2 linked regions of the Arabidopsis thaliana genome follow. The protein of the gene in region 1 interacts with the protein of each later gene in a pairwise test. Each region holds a gene or a part of one and is shown in the gene's direction. Other genes may lie near its edges.

Evidence for each region. Proteins that work in one complex are often made in the same cells at the same time.
Region 2: the proteins of MLO12 (region 1) and AT2G38250 interact in binary tests that used the Arabidopsis thaliana proteins (3 or more experiments, as listed by UniProt).

What each region holds. Positions count from the first base shown.
Region 1 is NC_003071.7:16,353,919-16,364,099, reverse strand, and holds MLO12 (Seven transmembrane MLO family protein), read left to right. Parts: upstream 1-4,156; 5' UTR 4,157-4,302; coding exon 4,303-4,419; intron 4,420-4,632; coding exon 4,633-4,690; intron 4,691-4,821; coding exon 4,822-5,066; intron 5,067-5,164; coding exon 5,165-5,281; intron 5,282-5,378; coding exon 5,379-5,439; intron 5,440-5,781; coding exon 5,782-5,870; intron 5,871-5,966; coding exon 5,967-6,041; intron 6,042-6,120; coding exon 6,121-6,215; intron 6,216-6,327; coding exon 6,328-6,377; intron 6,378-6,480; coding exon 6,481-6,521; intron 6,522-6,617; coding exon 6,618-6,791; intron 6,792-6,896; coding exon 6,897-6,932; intron 6,933-7,020; coding exon 7,021-7,088; intron 7,089-7,190; coding exon 7,191-7,251; intron 7,252-7,401; coding exon 7,402-7,845; 3' UTR 7,846-8,059; downstream 8,060-10,181. Other genes in the region: ATATH8 (Protein kinase superfamily protein), read right to left, coding at 8,355-8,759, 8,989-9,142, 9,534-9,604, 9,707-9,819, 10,004-10,097.
Region 2 is NC_003071.7:16,015,104-16,020,656, forward strand, and holds AT2G38250 (Homeodomain-like superfamily protein), read left to right. Parts: upstream 1-3,106; 5' UTR 3,107-3,280; coding exon 3,281-3,586; intron 3,587-3,833; coding exon 3,834-4,397; 3' UTR 4,398-5,053; downstream 5,054-5,553.

The sequences.
Region 1 (10,181 bases):
TCATCTACGCTACGAACTATTCTTATCAAACTGGGGACAGAAGAAACCAAACGACGATAGCTCAAATTACAGATTCCGCTAATTTATTTAGATATATTGGTTGGGAATTTTTTTAATTCTAGAAATATGACGAAGAACAGTAATGTTCAAATAAGGTAAGGAAACAAAAGAACAACAACTCTTTTTTTGGCCAAACTAAAAGAACAAACAACTCAAAGAAAATAAATAAGTGAAATAACATACCAAAATTTTATATCAATTTAATGCCTAAGAATTGGTCAAATGTTAACTTAAGTACTTAAATTTTAAAAACATCATATACACTGATATTCATCTACTAATTATAAATCAAAATTTTTTTTTGTTAAAGTGAGAGGATGATCCGAATTCACCTAATTCAGAATTTCTATCGTTTAGTCAATTGCTTAGGAAAACAAAAATATATGATGACAGTATATAATGGACTAGTGGATGTTGGGCCGCTTTTTAATAAAGCCCAATTAACAATTTAACATATAGAGAAGCAAGATGTCGATGCATATTCATTTACACAAACAAACAGAAAAAAACTACAAGAAATCTTCTTAAAAATACAAAACAACCGCTGTAGTTATAAAAGAGAAGATGTTAATTATTAATTAGTCTCCAAATTTGTGTGGATTAATTTGTAGTTTTTGAATATTACGGTCTTAGTTAGGGATAAAGATAAAACCAAATGTTCCCCAAAATATTATGAGTTTCTGAAGAAACACTCATTAGTAGGAAAAAGATTTAGGACTAGTTGTTTGACCAAAAAAAAAGAAAAAAAAAGAAAAAAAAAACTTTGGACTTTACCACTAATTCTTTGAGCGAGTGAGCTTATTTGTTTCTATCAGAAGCCCACTAACATTTATTCTAAACTAAATGTATTTAATTAGTAAAACACATTGATCCTAATCAAAGTCGCTTACAAACCAAAATCCACATAAAAATAGAAAAAAAGAAGAAGATGAATTTGTGATGATATCTATCACACTTAGAGAAAATAAAGGAAAAACACCTACTAACTAAAACATATTATAAAGATAATAACATATTATAAATCAATAGATATTCTGTGTCAAAAATATTAATTTGCAAAACCATTTTTGTATATTAAATATTTGTATTTGCTCTTATACAATACATTGCAAATTGTATCTTAAAAGTGGTTTTGTGACAAAAAAAAAAAAAAAAAAAAAGTGGTTAATAAGTTCTTATAAAACCTATTTAAATATGATATAAGGTTATTAATTCAATCACTCACTATGAATATAAATACATAAATATATAAAGAGTCAACCATAATTATTTTTATTTCCCTAAGCAATGTAAACGATATTTCATGTCATGAATGAAATCCATAAATAAAATAATTTGCTGTAAATATTTACATCAATATCATGCATAGTTTTAAGATATTCAAAAAAATCATAGAGAATTTTGGAATATTAAAACTGATATGATACATAAATGAATTTCATAAAATACAAACCGTCAAAAACAAACATATATCGTGTACATTTAGTTTTCATTTTTTATGGACACAACGTACATAATTGCAGATGATTTTTAATTAAAATTTATGAGGAGAAAATGCTAACCTTGTATATATTTTCCTGTTTCCGTATACTAATTGACTTGAAATGTAATAACTTCCGTGTTCTGTTTTTTGATTTTTTTCTTAGTTAGGCTATGAAAGCTCTTAAATTGTTACCTTTTTTTGTTCAATAAAGCTCTTAAATAGTTACCTAAAATTAGAAACAATACGTAAATTTCTATGTTTTTTCTTCAAAGTAACTTAAGTGGCGGTCAACCAAGAAAAAACATCATAAATTTTATTGTCCATCCAACTTGGAGAAATATTAAACTGTTAATCTATTTAATTAAAGATTAAATATGAATTTAATTAAAATTTAATCTGAATTGAATACAACTCATTATTAAGATTTGTTCAACTTGCAGAAAAAACAAGGGAACAACACGTTTTCAGGGATGACTTTCAAAATTTTATATTGGATAACGATGTGGCAAAGAATACAAAATTCAAAGAAGGAAACCATATGAGATCGGTTAAGATTGAAAAATTGGAGCTATGGGTCAAAACAAAGATGGACACATGGATGATTTTACACCACAACCTTACCAATAAAGAGTCAACGCTTAGGAAGTTTAGATCAGTACATATCATAGAATGGCAATGTCAATATGATTTGAGTTGACTCTAACCTTCTTTTTTTTTAAATGACAAATTATTTAATTATTTCAACTTCCTGATGAAACGGTTGAAATATTATTTTATCAATTTGAGTGAAAATGTGGAAATCCACTATTCTATCGAAGTTCCAACTCTAACTTGGTGGAAATAAGTTGTATAGGATAAAACCATAATATAATGGGCATTGTATTAATACCAAAACTGATCCCATTCCAAAAGAAAAAATGGAATTTTACGGTGGTATTGGCTATATTGATACTTTACTTGGAGAAAAAAAAAAATTGATTGAAAATATGACTAATATTATTAGTCGGACAGTCATATCAAAATGGAGTTGAAAAACAAAAATGGCTAATTTGGTAAATGCTCCATCGAGATTGGAAGTAAGAAAGAACATCTTTTCATGATTTTTAAATTGTAAATACCGTTAGTGAGTGTTTTCTTTGTTTAGTCACCTTGTGTTACAAGTCCTTTCTATAAGCCACTGATCGTTTTGTATAAATAATCAAGAAATGCAAGGCAGACCCATAATTATTTTAATAAACAATTATCATAGTCAACCCAAAGTACTTCCAATTCCAGCTATGGTTAAGTTTGACTTCACGATAAGTTTCACCTCACGCTTAAATATATATTTCCATCTATCTTTTCTTTTTGTTAAAGGATACCTTCATTATGGGTTAAAAAAGTGTAACTGTCAATCTGTAAATTTTTTATTGGATACAAAGAAAATTTATATTAACGACAACAGGTATGTTTAACACATGAGACGATAATCAATTCCAAATTTCCGGTAACGGCAACTATGTCCTAAGCCACACCTTGATTGAGTCCATTTACCACAATTTGATTTTTTTTTTTTTTTTTTGGTTTGATATTTAGTAATATCAATTCACAATAATATTTATGAAAATATCTTAACATACTTGTTATCAATGCTGATCCAACGTCTTAACCAACATACCTAACTGATAACTAGTTCCAGATGAATAGTCGTCCAACCCATAGCACACGATATTACATGTACAACACATGATTCAAAATAAATCATACTGGATTTTGCGAAATGTTTACCACGTATAGCTAGAATTTTCCAAAAGTTTTTAAAAAATTTGTACTTTGGAGATTTAAATCCTGATATGGCATAGAAACATGAATTCTTTTTAGGCCACCACCAAACCAAAATCGTTTTAAGTTTTTATGTACCGTTTTCGTCAGAAATTAACTCACTGAGTAACATGTTGGCTCTATAATTGTTTAGTTAAAACAAGAACTGATGAGAATGGAATATCAATCATTAAATGACCGCTTCAATTTTACCTCGGTTTATCGCTTGGCCACTATTTTATTTCCGAAACCCAAAAGTAGATAAACTAGTTTCTTTTGCATGGAAATTTTTTCCACCTTACTTTGGTTAGAGATTCTTTTACTTCGTTTTTCTTTAAAGAAGATTTTACATAATCTCATTCAATAAATTTATGATATATTAAAAAGTATCTTTTTCAGTTCAACATCGCAGACATTCATAATAACTGCCAAAACCCATTTCTTTGATCGTACCGTAAAATGTGAATGCGAGGCATGAATAAATTTCGGTCTTTTAAAAATAAAAATAAAATAAAAAATTTCAGTCTTCATCAGAACGACCGAACACTACATTTAGTTTTTAAAATTGAAAAAATCGTTTTAAGGTATGCATGACCCATAAGAAGTGGTAGCTAAGTTCACACGGCATTACCAGTCTCCTCATGCCACTTCATCTCAAGTCGTTATCTTTGAATTAGTCAAAGTCTTCGTTTCCCTTATTTTTTAATAAATAATTGCGGCTTTCACTTGTTTGACTTTCTTTTTATTCTCTTTACAAAGAAATAACAACAACTCATGTATAGGCATCTTGTTTTTAATTGAATTATGTATATATAGAGACATAACAGGAACAAAGTCCATATCACTTTCTTTCTCCTTTTCCCCTTATCGATAAACTTGCGAAACCCTAAAAGCTAAGAAACTTAAGAGTTTAAAGTTTAACAAAAACAACTTAAAAAGAGTTTTGAGCAGTGAAATTAATGGCAATAAAAGAGCGATCACTAGAGGAAACACCAACATGGGCTGTTGCTGTAGTTTGCTTCGTTCTCCTTTTCATTTCCATCATGATCGAATACTTCTTGCACTTTATTGGTCACGTACGTATATTTTTCATTTTTATATTTCCAAATCTTCCTTTCTCTCTTTTTGCTTTTCTCCAAATGATACGAAAGTACACATTAATTTAGTACTATTACTTTTGCATTTTAAGGTTATTAATGCATCATCTCGCTTTTTCTTAACTAGGCAATCAAAATTTATTCGGTATAACCCCATAATTAATCTCTAATTCTTCTTTTCACTTATTGTAGTGGTTTAAGAAGAAGCACAAGAAAGCTTTATCTGAAGCTCTTGAAAAGGTTAAAGCAGGCAAGTTAATTCACTATTCTATAAAAAGTTGTCATCAAAGACGACTTTTTATATTACAATATGATAAATCTTTCTCTATTTGGATTCCCAACTAACTTTCTTCTTTTGTTGTTGGATTGTGATGAAAATAGAACTGATGCTTCTGGGATTCATATCGCTTCTATTGGTTGTATTGCAAACACCAGTCTCCGAGATTTGCATTCCAAGAAATATTGCTGCGACTTGGCATCCTTGTAGCAACCATCAAGAAATCGCCAAATATGGTAAAGATTATATCGACGATGGCCGCAAAATTCTTGAAGATTTTGACTCCAACGACTTTTACAGTCCTCGCCGAAATTTAGCCACCAAGGGTTATGACAAATGCGCAGAAAAGGCATGTAATTCATAATTACTTACTAACTATACTAGTATGCCGCTTTTATGTTTAGCAAATATATATATCGGAATCTTATTTCATATTTTCGATTTCAGGGGAAAGTAGCATTAGTATCTGCCTATGGTATCCACCAGCTGCATATATTCATCTTTGTGCTCGCTGTTTTTCATGTTCTCTACTGCATTATAACCTATGCTTTAGGAAAGACCAAGGTACATGATCTTCTCTATACATTTTGTACAAGTTTATGCATATATTTGTATGTGTTTAATTTGTTTTTTAATCTATATATGGTTATGCAATATGTAGATGAAGAAATGGAAGTCATGGGAGAGAGAGACCAAAACAATTGAGTACCAATATGCCAATGGTATGTACATATACAACACACACTATCTCATCGCCATAGAGTTTATATTTGTAGAAGTAATTAATCAAAGAAAAATGACTAATAATCCGGTAGTTGACTTTGCCAAGGTTAACATCTTGATAGCGTATCAGTGGGAAGATAATTGTTTATTTCATTGATTAGTTTGTTTATTTGATTGAGTTAGATAATTGAATTGTTGATTAATTACAACGTCGTTTGTTTGACTCACGAATAAACAATTTAACACAAGAAAGTAACATCATATTTTATTTTTATTTAACTATATATTATCTGTCCTCTGATTTAATTTGTTTAGTTCAATTGGTTATTTAACTATTATAGATCCAGAGAGGTTCAGATTTGCAAGAGATACATCGTTCGGACGTAGACATCTGAATATATGGAGCAAGTCTACCTTTACCCTCTGGATTGTAAGTTTTCATTTCTTTACTTTTTGTGAGTAATTTTTTTATATATAATTTGGTTAAAAATTGACAACAAAACTTATGGATGGAAATGGAATGCAGACATGTTTCTTCAGACAGTTCTTTGGATCAGTGACAAAAGTAGATTATCTTACACTAAGACATGGCTTTATTATGGTAAGTAATAATTAGCATATACTACTAGTAATACACTATGAATTGTTGATTAATTACTCCAATTGGTGAATTGGTGCAGGCACATTTGCCAGCAGGAAGTGCCGCTCGTTTCGATTTCCAAAAATACATTGAAAGATCTTTGGAACAAGATTTCACGGTGGTTGTCGGTATAAGGTACAGTATGTCCCATTTTTTATTTTTATTTAAACCAAGTTTGTTAATATTTTGTTCAAACAATCTTGCACAAAAGTTAAATATCTGATTAAATATCTTTGTGTGAATGCAGCCCACTGATATGGTGCATTGCTGTCTTATTCATATTGACCAATACACATGGTATGTCCTAATTCTCTAACAATTCATTTAAGAGATTAAGCAAATCGTTATATATCAACGAAATATCTTTCTAAATTTCAATGTCTTTTTCAAATTAAAATAGGATGGGACTCATATCTTTGGCTGCCCTTCCTTCCCTTGATTGTAAGTAATAAAAAATTTCACTTCAAAGTCTTCAGTGTATTAATTATGTAGCTGTGAATAAACAATAATTGTATATGGTTGGTGTAAATATTGAAGGTGATATTGATAGTAGGAGCAAAACTTCAAATGATAATATCGAAATTAGGATTAAGGATTCAAGAAAAAGGAGATGTGGTTAAAGGAGCTCCTGTGGTTGAACCGGGCGATGATCTCTTTTGGTTTGGTCGTCCTCGTTTCATTCTCTTCCTCATTCACTTGGTTCTTTTCACGGTACACTTATTTACTTTTTTACATTTACCATCTTAAGTTTTTTTTTTGTCAACCCTTTTCTTATGACTTTCTAAATTTTGTTTCTTCTATGTATTTTGTTTATAGAATGCATTTCAACTGGCTTTCTTCGTTTGGAGCACTGTGAGCAATAACAATCCATTTTCTTCTTCCAATTTATATATGTTTTTGAAAAAAAATTAATGATTTTGGTTATGAATTAATTTTGCAGTACGAATTCACACTCAAAAACTGCTTCCACCACAAAACAGAAGACATTGCAATTAGGATCACCATGGGGTTTGTTAACTTCCTCAACTATACATAACATACAACAAAATAATATTATCTTTTGTATGTTTTGAACCTTAACGATAAATTTCTTCTTGTTGTATACGGCAGGGTATTAATACAAGTTCTATGCAGCTACATCACTCTACCTCTCTATGCTCTTGTTACTCAGGTACAACTTTTAACAAATTTTAAATTGCTAAGTGTCAATGCGTCATGTTTGAAACAATTAAGGGTTTGCTACAAAATTGTGATTGTCCCATATATAGTTTAGATTATTTTGGATGTATAGGATTTCTCTAACACTAAAATGTGATTGCAGATGGGAACATCAATGAGGCCGACAATATTCAACGACAGGGTAGCCAATGCATTGAAGAAATGGCACCACACAGCCAAGAAACAGACGAAACATGGACACTCAGGATCTAACACACCTCACTCGAGCCGTCCTACTACGCCAACACATGGCATGTCACCGGTGCATCTCCTCCACAACTACAATAACCGCAGCCTCGACCAACAAACCAGCTTCACTGCTTCTCCTTCTCCTCCTAGATTCTCTGATTATAGCGGCCAAGGCCATGGCCATCAGCATTTCTTCGACCCTGAATCTCAGAATCACTCTTACCAACGTGAGATCACAGATTCTGAATTCAGCAATAGTCATCATCCCCAAGTTGACATGGCAAGTCCTGTTAGAGAAGAGAAGGAGATTGTTGAGCATGTCAAGGTTGATTTGTCTGAGTTTACGTTCAAGAAGTGATAGGACTATACTTTTTACATTCTGTTTGTTCATTCTTTGTAAATGATATGAACTTAGGAATGAACACTTTTCTTATTTCTTTATCTGAATTTTGCTATAAGCTCAAACGCTTTATGATATCATTTCATATTAGTAGACAGACTTTAGATCTAGTTAACTGATATGTTTTACACAAACGCTTGTCCTATTCAATCAAATATGTTTTGTGTTTTGGACTTGCCCAAGAGGTTTCGGTAAATGTAGGACATTTTAGAGTGGAGAACTCTATTAAGTGTTCTTGAAGCAGAGCAAAAGGATTCCTTGAGGTCTCGGATATTATGATTAGTCATATATCGTTACGACAGGCATTGATCGTCTGATAGGATTAGATATGGAACGACTCTATACACGAAAATATTTAGTCTTTCTGTAGAATCTATCCCTCTTACTAAGGAACCCTTTGCTTTGGGTCTTGACAACAATATACATTAGTGATTCTGGTTCTGTGTTGGTGTAGGATGTTCAGGTAATCAGGTACGAAGTGCGACTGGAGCAGACAGAGATAAGTAGTTGACGTAACCTTCAGAGACCGAGATCACAAACCGATGGCAAGCAAGCGCAGTGGTGGTGAGAGACATGACAAAGGAAGTCCAGCAGAATCTGAGCATCAAAACTCGGTCACTCTTTGCAGACTCCAGTATCTTTCTCAGTATTACTCTGACCCGCTTGTCATTGATTAGAATCTTGAAGTCTTTGACTGTAATGTTGATTCCTGAAGATGGTGGTGGGTCTGAAAGAGAAATGAATTTAAGGGATTCAATTCCAAGGCTTCCAACCATCCATTGGTACATCGTAGTTGCAATCGTCATGCAAAGTTTCTGGCGTATGACAAGTGCCTCTCTTGAAATAAATGTCCGGATCAGTGAAGTCCCGTTCTGTTTTATCAAAACAGAGAACAATACAAAGTTTATTACTTGAGAGGTCATTTCCTCAGAAATACGACAAATCTACTTTAATCACAAGTTAAAGTCAACATGGGGATGAATGATGACCATAACCAGAAAGGTACCTTATTCCCTGTTTACTTTGTTAGAGACTAATCTTTAAGTTCAGAAAACTGGCAAAAACGATGGGAAGAATAGCAATTAGGATGTAGAAACTAACCGCAGCCATCAAGAGTCTTCTAAGAACCACACCATTTTTGGATGCCAAAAGTCTCAAGACCAAACTTACATTGTCAGCATCTTTGTCCGTTAGATTGGAACTACTATCAACAGAAGTTTCATCCCTTGATAACTTTAGCAGTGGCGATTGTTTCCTAGACAAGGTATAAAATAACTTATTATTATACAGAGACCTAGAATACAAGATAGTAAACAATATGCAGGGGCTAAACAAGACAGAATATGAATGTAAAGATCATTCAAATACTTTAATATCAAATCATTACCAGTCAAAGCTACGTTAGATGCCTATTACTTGCTCTTTGTTGTGAGCCATCTGACTCTTTGTAACTAAATTATTATATTTCATCTGATACTTCTGTAATTTAACAATAGTTTTCTGTTGCTGACCTCAAGAAAGTACTTAGAAGAGAGCCAGAGGCACTAAAATTCTCATCTTTTCCATATTACCTACACCACTTTATCCACCAGAGCTATACCTAGACATAATTCTAATGCATAAGTCAAATGTCTGATTCACAATACCTCGTAGAACTTTTACTCAGGAAAAGAGCAACCCTTTCCCATCGGAATTCCTTCTTTCGGTTAAGGACTGCCTACAGACACCAACAGAAGTTAAGAAGTTTTCTCTGCTATTTAGCTTTATGAAACAGAAACTATAAAAAGTCACTTAAATGGCTCTAGAAACTGTGTAATACCGAATGAAGAATCTTCCTTGTTGCAGCTGAATTTTCAGTGATGAGCTTTTGAACCACAAAAGGGTATGCTGCCTCAAATGTCTTAAAATTTGGATCTCCAGCTGCAGCCAGACCTGGGAAGACAAGAATAGAAAGCAAATAACTAAAGGATGGAAACAAATGGATTACATATTCTTCTACGATATAAGCCAACAAAAAGAATGACGCAAAATGCCAAGTAAAGGAAACCAAGCATGGCTAGAAAGAAATGACAAATAAAGTTATCAAACAAACAATCAAGGACTCAATCACAAGTACCTTCCAAGCAAGCAAGAGAACGGAGGACAAGTGTGAAGTATGGTGGCATGCGTAGCTGATACTTCAGGGCCACATTGACTATTTTACTAAGCACCTTGAAAAAATTAGAAGCATTGGAAGAAATATTAATGAATTCAATGGTACTCACGCAGAAGATAAAACTATAAGAATTTTAGAT
Region 2 (5,553 bases), 340 kb from region 1:
TTATAGAATAAGAGTTTGATGACAATCAGATGTCGATTCACGATTGACAGACTTAAAAATACCTAATCAACAACAGATTATCGGTGGAGGTCATGCCAACATTTGGAACGAAAACAGCCAAACCCATAGTGTATTTTTTTCATGGTCATTGTATTTATATAGACTAAAGTAGAGATCATCATAATTTAAATTATTGTTTTGGTTTGTAATCCACAAAAGCCAAAAAATAAACAAAAAAAACGAAATCATTTGAAAAATGGTTTGATTATAGTGGTTGAACCATCTTCTGTTTGGCGCAACATTGTTGAATGATTTTGGATGACTGAAATTCCCAAAAGAATAATTATAAAATACTCAAAAACTAATTTAAATGATTTTTTTTCAGTTATATCTCTAACATGTCTATGATATATAACAAAACGTTTAAGACAAATGTTTAAACATGAGAATAGAATCACGCTTTCAAAACGTGACAACTAAAGAAATACCATTTATCAATCTAACTCTGTTAAATTCGATTATCTATTGTTTTTCTTTGTACAAATGGTATTTTGATGCTATACATTAGCATATATAATAGGAACGTTCTTTTAGATGGTATTAAATTCATTTCATCCTATATATCTATTTCTTTCATCTTCTAGATCGAGATATGTCAAAAGGAAATACTAGATCCGTGATGTTGACAAAAGAAATTGTCCGCCTAATATGTTGAATATTGTGAACGTAAATGATGTGATATAGTGTGATAAATAAATAAATAAATGAATCAATTACCAGATAAGGATTTTTAGTGGCATTCATAGATTTGCCGAAAAAATTATATCTAAAGTTACAATTTACACATTTAGGTTTACTTGGTTCTATTTTTTTAGGGTATAATATTTGTTATTATGTATTTTATAAAAAAAAAATGGAAACATAATGAAACAAAATTCTCAAATACATATTTTTATTTAAAAAGTTTCTCAAAATTTTAGCTTTTAAGTGGCAGAAAATAGTTTTTTTTTTTTTTATAGATAAAGTGAAAAATCTAAAATGGCAAAATCAACAATAATCCAAAACAACAAAATCAACAAATCTAAAAAACTCGTTGATTGTTTTGAAGACAACAGCTATGTGGTGAAGAAAAAATGAAGAAAAACCAAAATCGACATGTGGGCTACTGTGTAAGATGCATTCATTTACAGCTACCAAACGCACACGTGACAATTTTTTTTTTTTTTTTTTTTTTGTTTGTATATATTATATAAATTTAAATACAATCGAAAACAAAAATTCTTCGTTAAACTCTTTTCAATGCTGTATTTGAAGCTTCCTATTTTTATTATTAAAAATATGTTGTTTCTAAAAAATATATATATATATATATATAAAAATTCTTTTCTTGACTCTACAAAATTTTTGTTTGCTAACAATTTTACCTTCACTGTTTACTATACAAAAAATCTCTGTTTTAGTGAATAATATATGCAACTAAGTTTTTCGCAATAAAAATACAATAAAAAAATTGTAGCTAGCTATAGTCTGGTCACAAACCATAGGAAATGTAGCCTCTAAAAATAAAATCAATAACAAATTTGTACTGATCTTTTTATATCGACATAAATTTGGTGAAAGTCCAAATAACATGTTTTTCGTACCATAATCAACCAAGTGGTGTTCCTTCAACAGATACATAAAACGAGGCAAAATAAAAGTGAACGAGGCAGACAAAGAATTTTCCAAACCTCATTTAAGGGACTAGGTTGACTTTAGTCCTTTACTTTAGAAGAGAGTTGCAGTTTTCATCTATTGTAGGGGTTACACAAAATTTGTTCTTATGTGAGTCCAATTGCCAAATTGTACATCACTCGAAGACAAATTGGGCCCAAACTGTGTAGAATGGGTTTGGGCTGCCAACCCATAATAAACCTTAAGTTGAAAATGAATTAGTTTGGCACATGCTTTTTTTTGTCATGTTCATGCTTTTAAAAAAATTCAAAATTGGCCTAACAAGTTTCACATCTCTAGAATGTTGTTCCTAGCTGGCTAGTTCCACGCACGTGTCACACTATAATTTGTCATTTCGTGAATGAAGAAATCATTCCAACACTTTTGTTATTTTGATAACCATACAAGGAATAACACGTGAAGGAATTTAGGAAACGAGAGATTCTAGAGAAGTCACCTAGTTTTGTATTTAAAAAAGGTGCTCAAAATTAGAAAAATATCGAATTTTGTTGAAAAAGGGAAAAATAAACAAAGACAAAGTAGTAAATAGAAACTTGGGCATGAAGCTAAGGATATGACTGGTCGCCGAGAATTAATAACCACACAGTATTATTACAAAAAGTATACAAACCGAAACTTCTCGCGGTGATGATGAAACCTCAACGCAATGTTATCGTCACATCAATTTGATTCCTCATTATAGTATGAATGAAAAAGCAGATTAAACAGAAAATACATAAAGAGCTCTATAACTCAATAGGAAATATTTACCACTCACCTATGTTTTTCTTACACTTTCACTCTAATTTATTTTGACAAAAGAAAAATTGTATTATATTATTTAAAGACTTGACTTTCTCTTTAATATTTTACTGTTTTTTATATTTAAAGCAATATAAAAAATTATCATCATTTTAATTAAATTTATTATCCCTACCATTTTACCAAACCAACTCAGTAATAAACTCATTTCATACACATATTTGACAAATATGTCGACTGTCAGAATCTAGAATACTATTTGTCAAATGAAAGTGATTACATTATGAGATAACGATAGAAATATCCACATCTCTCCTGATCACCAGTCAACATATCTTTTATTAACGAATTGACTGGTAGTTTAAGACGCTAATTATCCTTTGCTCTATAATACCATTTCAATCGATATTTTAACTAATTATATACTATTAGAAATGAAATGACAAATCTGCCGAAAGCTTTTTTCTTTTTAATATTTTGTCAAAAGAAGACACACAAAAAAAAAGTAAATTGTATTAGAAAAAATCCAAGACAGAGAAAAAAGTAAACGCGTAGACAGATGGCGACAGGAGAAAGAGAGAGTGGAGAAGAAGAAAAGAATTGCGATCAAAGAAAATTAGACTTCTTTCTTCCAACGTTTTCACATTACAAATACACAAAAACCAAAAGATAAAGAAAAACAAGAAATATTTTGTTTTTCGATCTGAAAAAGTGAAAGCTTCTTCAAAATCTTTGCTTTAGAGATCGTTTGGTGATTTTTTTTCTTTATTTTTTTTTTATAGTTTCTTCTTCTTGATTCTTTCATATGGATGGACATCAGCATCATCACCTTCACCAGCTTCAATATCTCAACAAGCATCATCTTCATACTCAATCGCAAACGCCGGAAATAGCCTCTCCGGTAGCTGTTGGGGATAGGTTTCCACAGTGGAGCGTCGAAGAGACAAAAGAGTTGATAGGGATAAGAGGAGAGCTAGATCAAACTTTCATGGAGACAAAACGGAACAAGCTTCTTTGGGAAGTTATCTCTAACAAGATGAGAGACAAAAGCTTTCCTCGTAGCCCTGAACAGTGCAAGTGCAAGTGGAAGAACCTCGTCACTCGTTTTAAGGTCTATTCTCTCTCTCCCTCTTCTTTCATTTTGTGGATGTTTTATAATCTTGGAGGTCTTGCATGGAACAAATAAATAAATAAAAATTTGTAACCAAGAAATATTGAATCTTATAGTCCATAATCTTTCCGGGACATATAGACAAACACCATTGTAAATATTTCTGAATCTTGTTGTCCATAATCTGCTAAGTAGTTTAATTATATGTATACAATCTCATTGGTGATGTATTGCTTGATGTTTCTAGGGATGTGAGACAATGGAGGCAGAGACAGCGAGACAACAGTTCCCTTTTTATGATGATATGCAAAATATATTTACCACTAGAATGCAGAGAATGCTATGGGCTGAATCCGAGGGAGGAGGAGGGGGAACAAGCGGGGCAGCGAGAAAGAGAGAGTATTCTTCAGATGAGGAAGAAGAGAATGTGAATGAAGAGCTAGTAGATGTCAGCAACGACCCAAAAATTCTAAATCCGAAAAAGAACATTGCAAAGAAGCGAAAAGGCGGTAGTAATAGTAGTAATAGCAATAATGGTGTAAGAGAAGTGTTGGAAGAGTTTATGAGACATCAAGTGAGAATGGAGAGCGAGTGGAGAGAAGGATGGGAGGCTAGGGAGAAGGAAAGAGCAGAGAAAGAAGAAGAATGGAGAAGGAAGATGGAGGAGCTTGAGAAGGAGAGGTTGGCAATGGAGCGGATGTGGCGGGATAGAGAGGAGCAACGGCGGTCGAGGGAGGAGATGAGAGCAGAGAAGAGGGATTCACTTATCAATGCATTGCTTGCTAAGCTTACTAGAGATGGTTCCCTCTAATCTTTTGTCAGCTTTGCTTAACCTAAATTAACTTGTTCTTATATGCTTGTTTGGGGTGTAGTGTAGGTACAATTATTTGGTGGGGGAAGATAATATCTACGGCAAATCTCAACACTCATATATTGATTGATATGATGACATATTTGAGTTTTAGTGAGGCTTTAGTAATTTATCATCCCCACATTATTTCTTCCTAGTTTATATTTTGGCGAGCCAAATTCTTATAGCATATCATTTAATCTTAGTAGTATACTGGTTTTAATTAGTAATTTGTAGGACCGTATGTGTAGTATTTTAGAGTAATTTGGATTTTGTTAGAGTTAACCTACAAATCCATATATAGTGCAGCGAATGTAATATCGGTTTCAAATATTATCTTCATGCAGAAGAGAACGAGGATACTAATAGTTTATGGTATTATGAACTAATTAACTTTGATGAGAATGTAGAGATCAAGAGGGCAAAACAGTTAGTGGAAATATTAAACATGCTCGAAACAAGAATGAAAACTTATCCTATGAATTATGGGATCATTTAGGTCCATTGTCTGCGATCTAAACTTTTATTATTTTACCATAAATGTTTTCTTGTAACATTGAGAATCATATCTAACATGGCAAGATAATACGTGAATGCGTATGGCGTTTCTTATCCACATAAATTTGTTTTACTTATGTTTTTTTTTTGTTTTCCACATAAAGATTAGTAAAGATCTTGTATTATTTTATTTGTAAATTTATATTTATATAATTATATACTAAGGAGATGCTTAATGAATAAAATACACATCACATGTTAATTCTAGAAAATACGTTAACCAGTTTTTTTTTGGTAACATTGTTGTTTCTTTATTTATTTACTAGCTATGAACTCATGCGTGGATTTATTTGTAAAAAATTTAACAGTTTTTTGTGTGACTAAAATATTTTATTGAAAATTTTGAAAATATGATTTTATATATCTATTTGTTGTTAATATTATAAACTCTTTGAATTTTAAAATTATCATGACAAATAGTAACAATTTAAATACATAACTAGAAATAACCTTTATACAACTCTTAGATTTTACAACATTTAGCAAAAGAACATTTTTTTGGTTAATGACTCTCTCTTTAGCTTTAGATATTTAGGATAACGACGTCTTTTTTTACGTA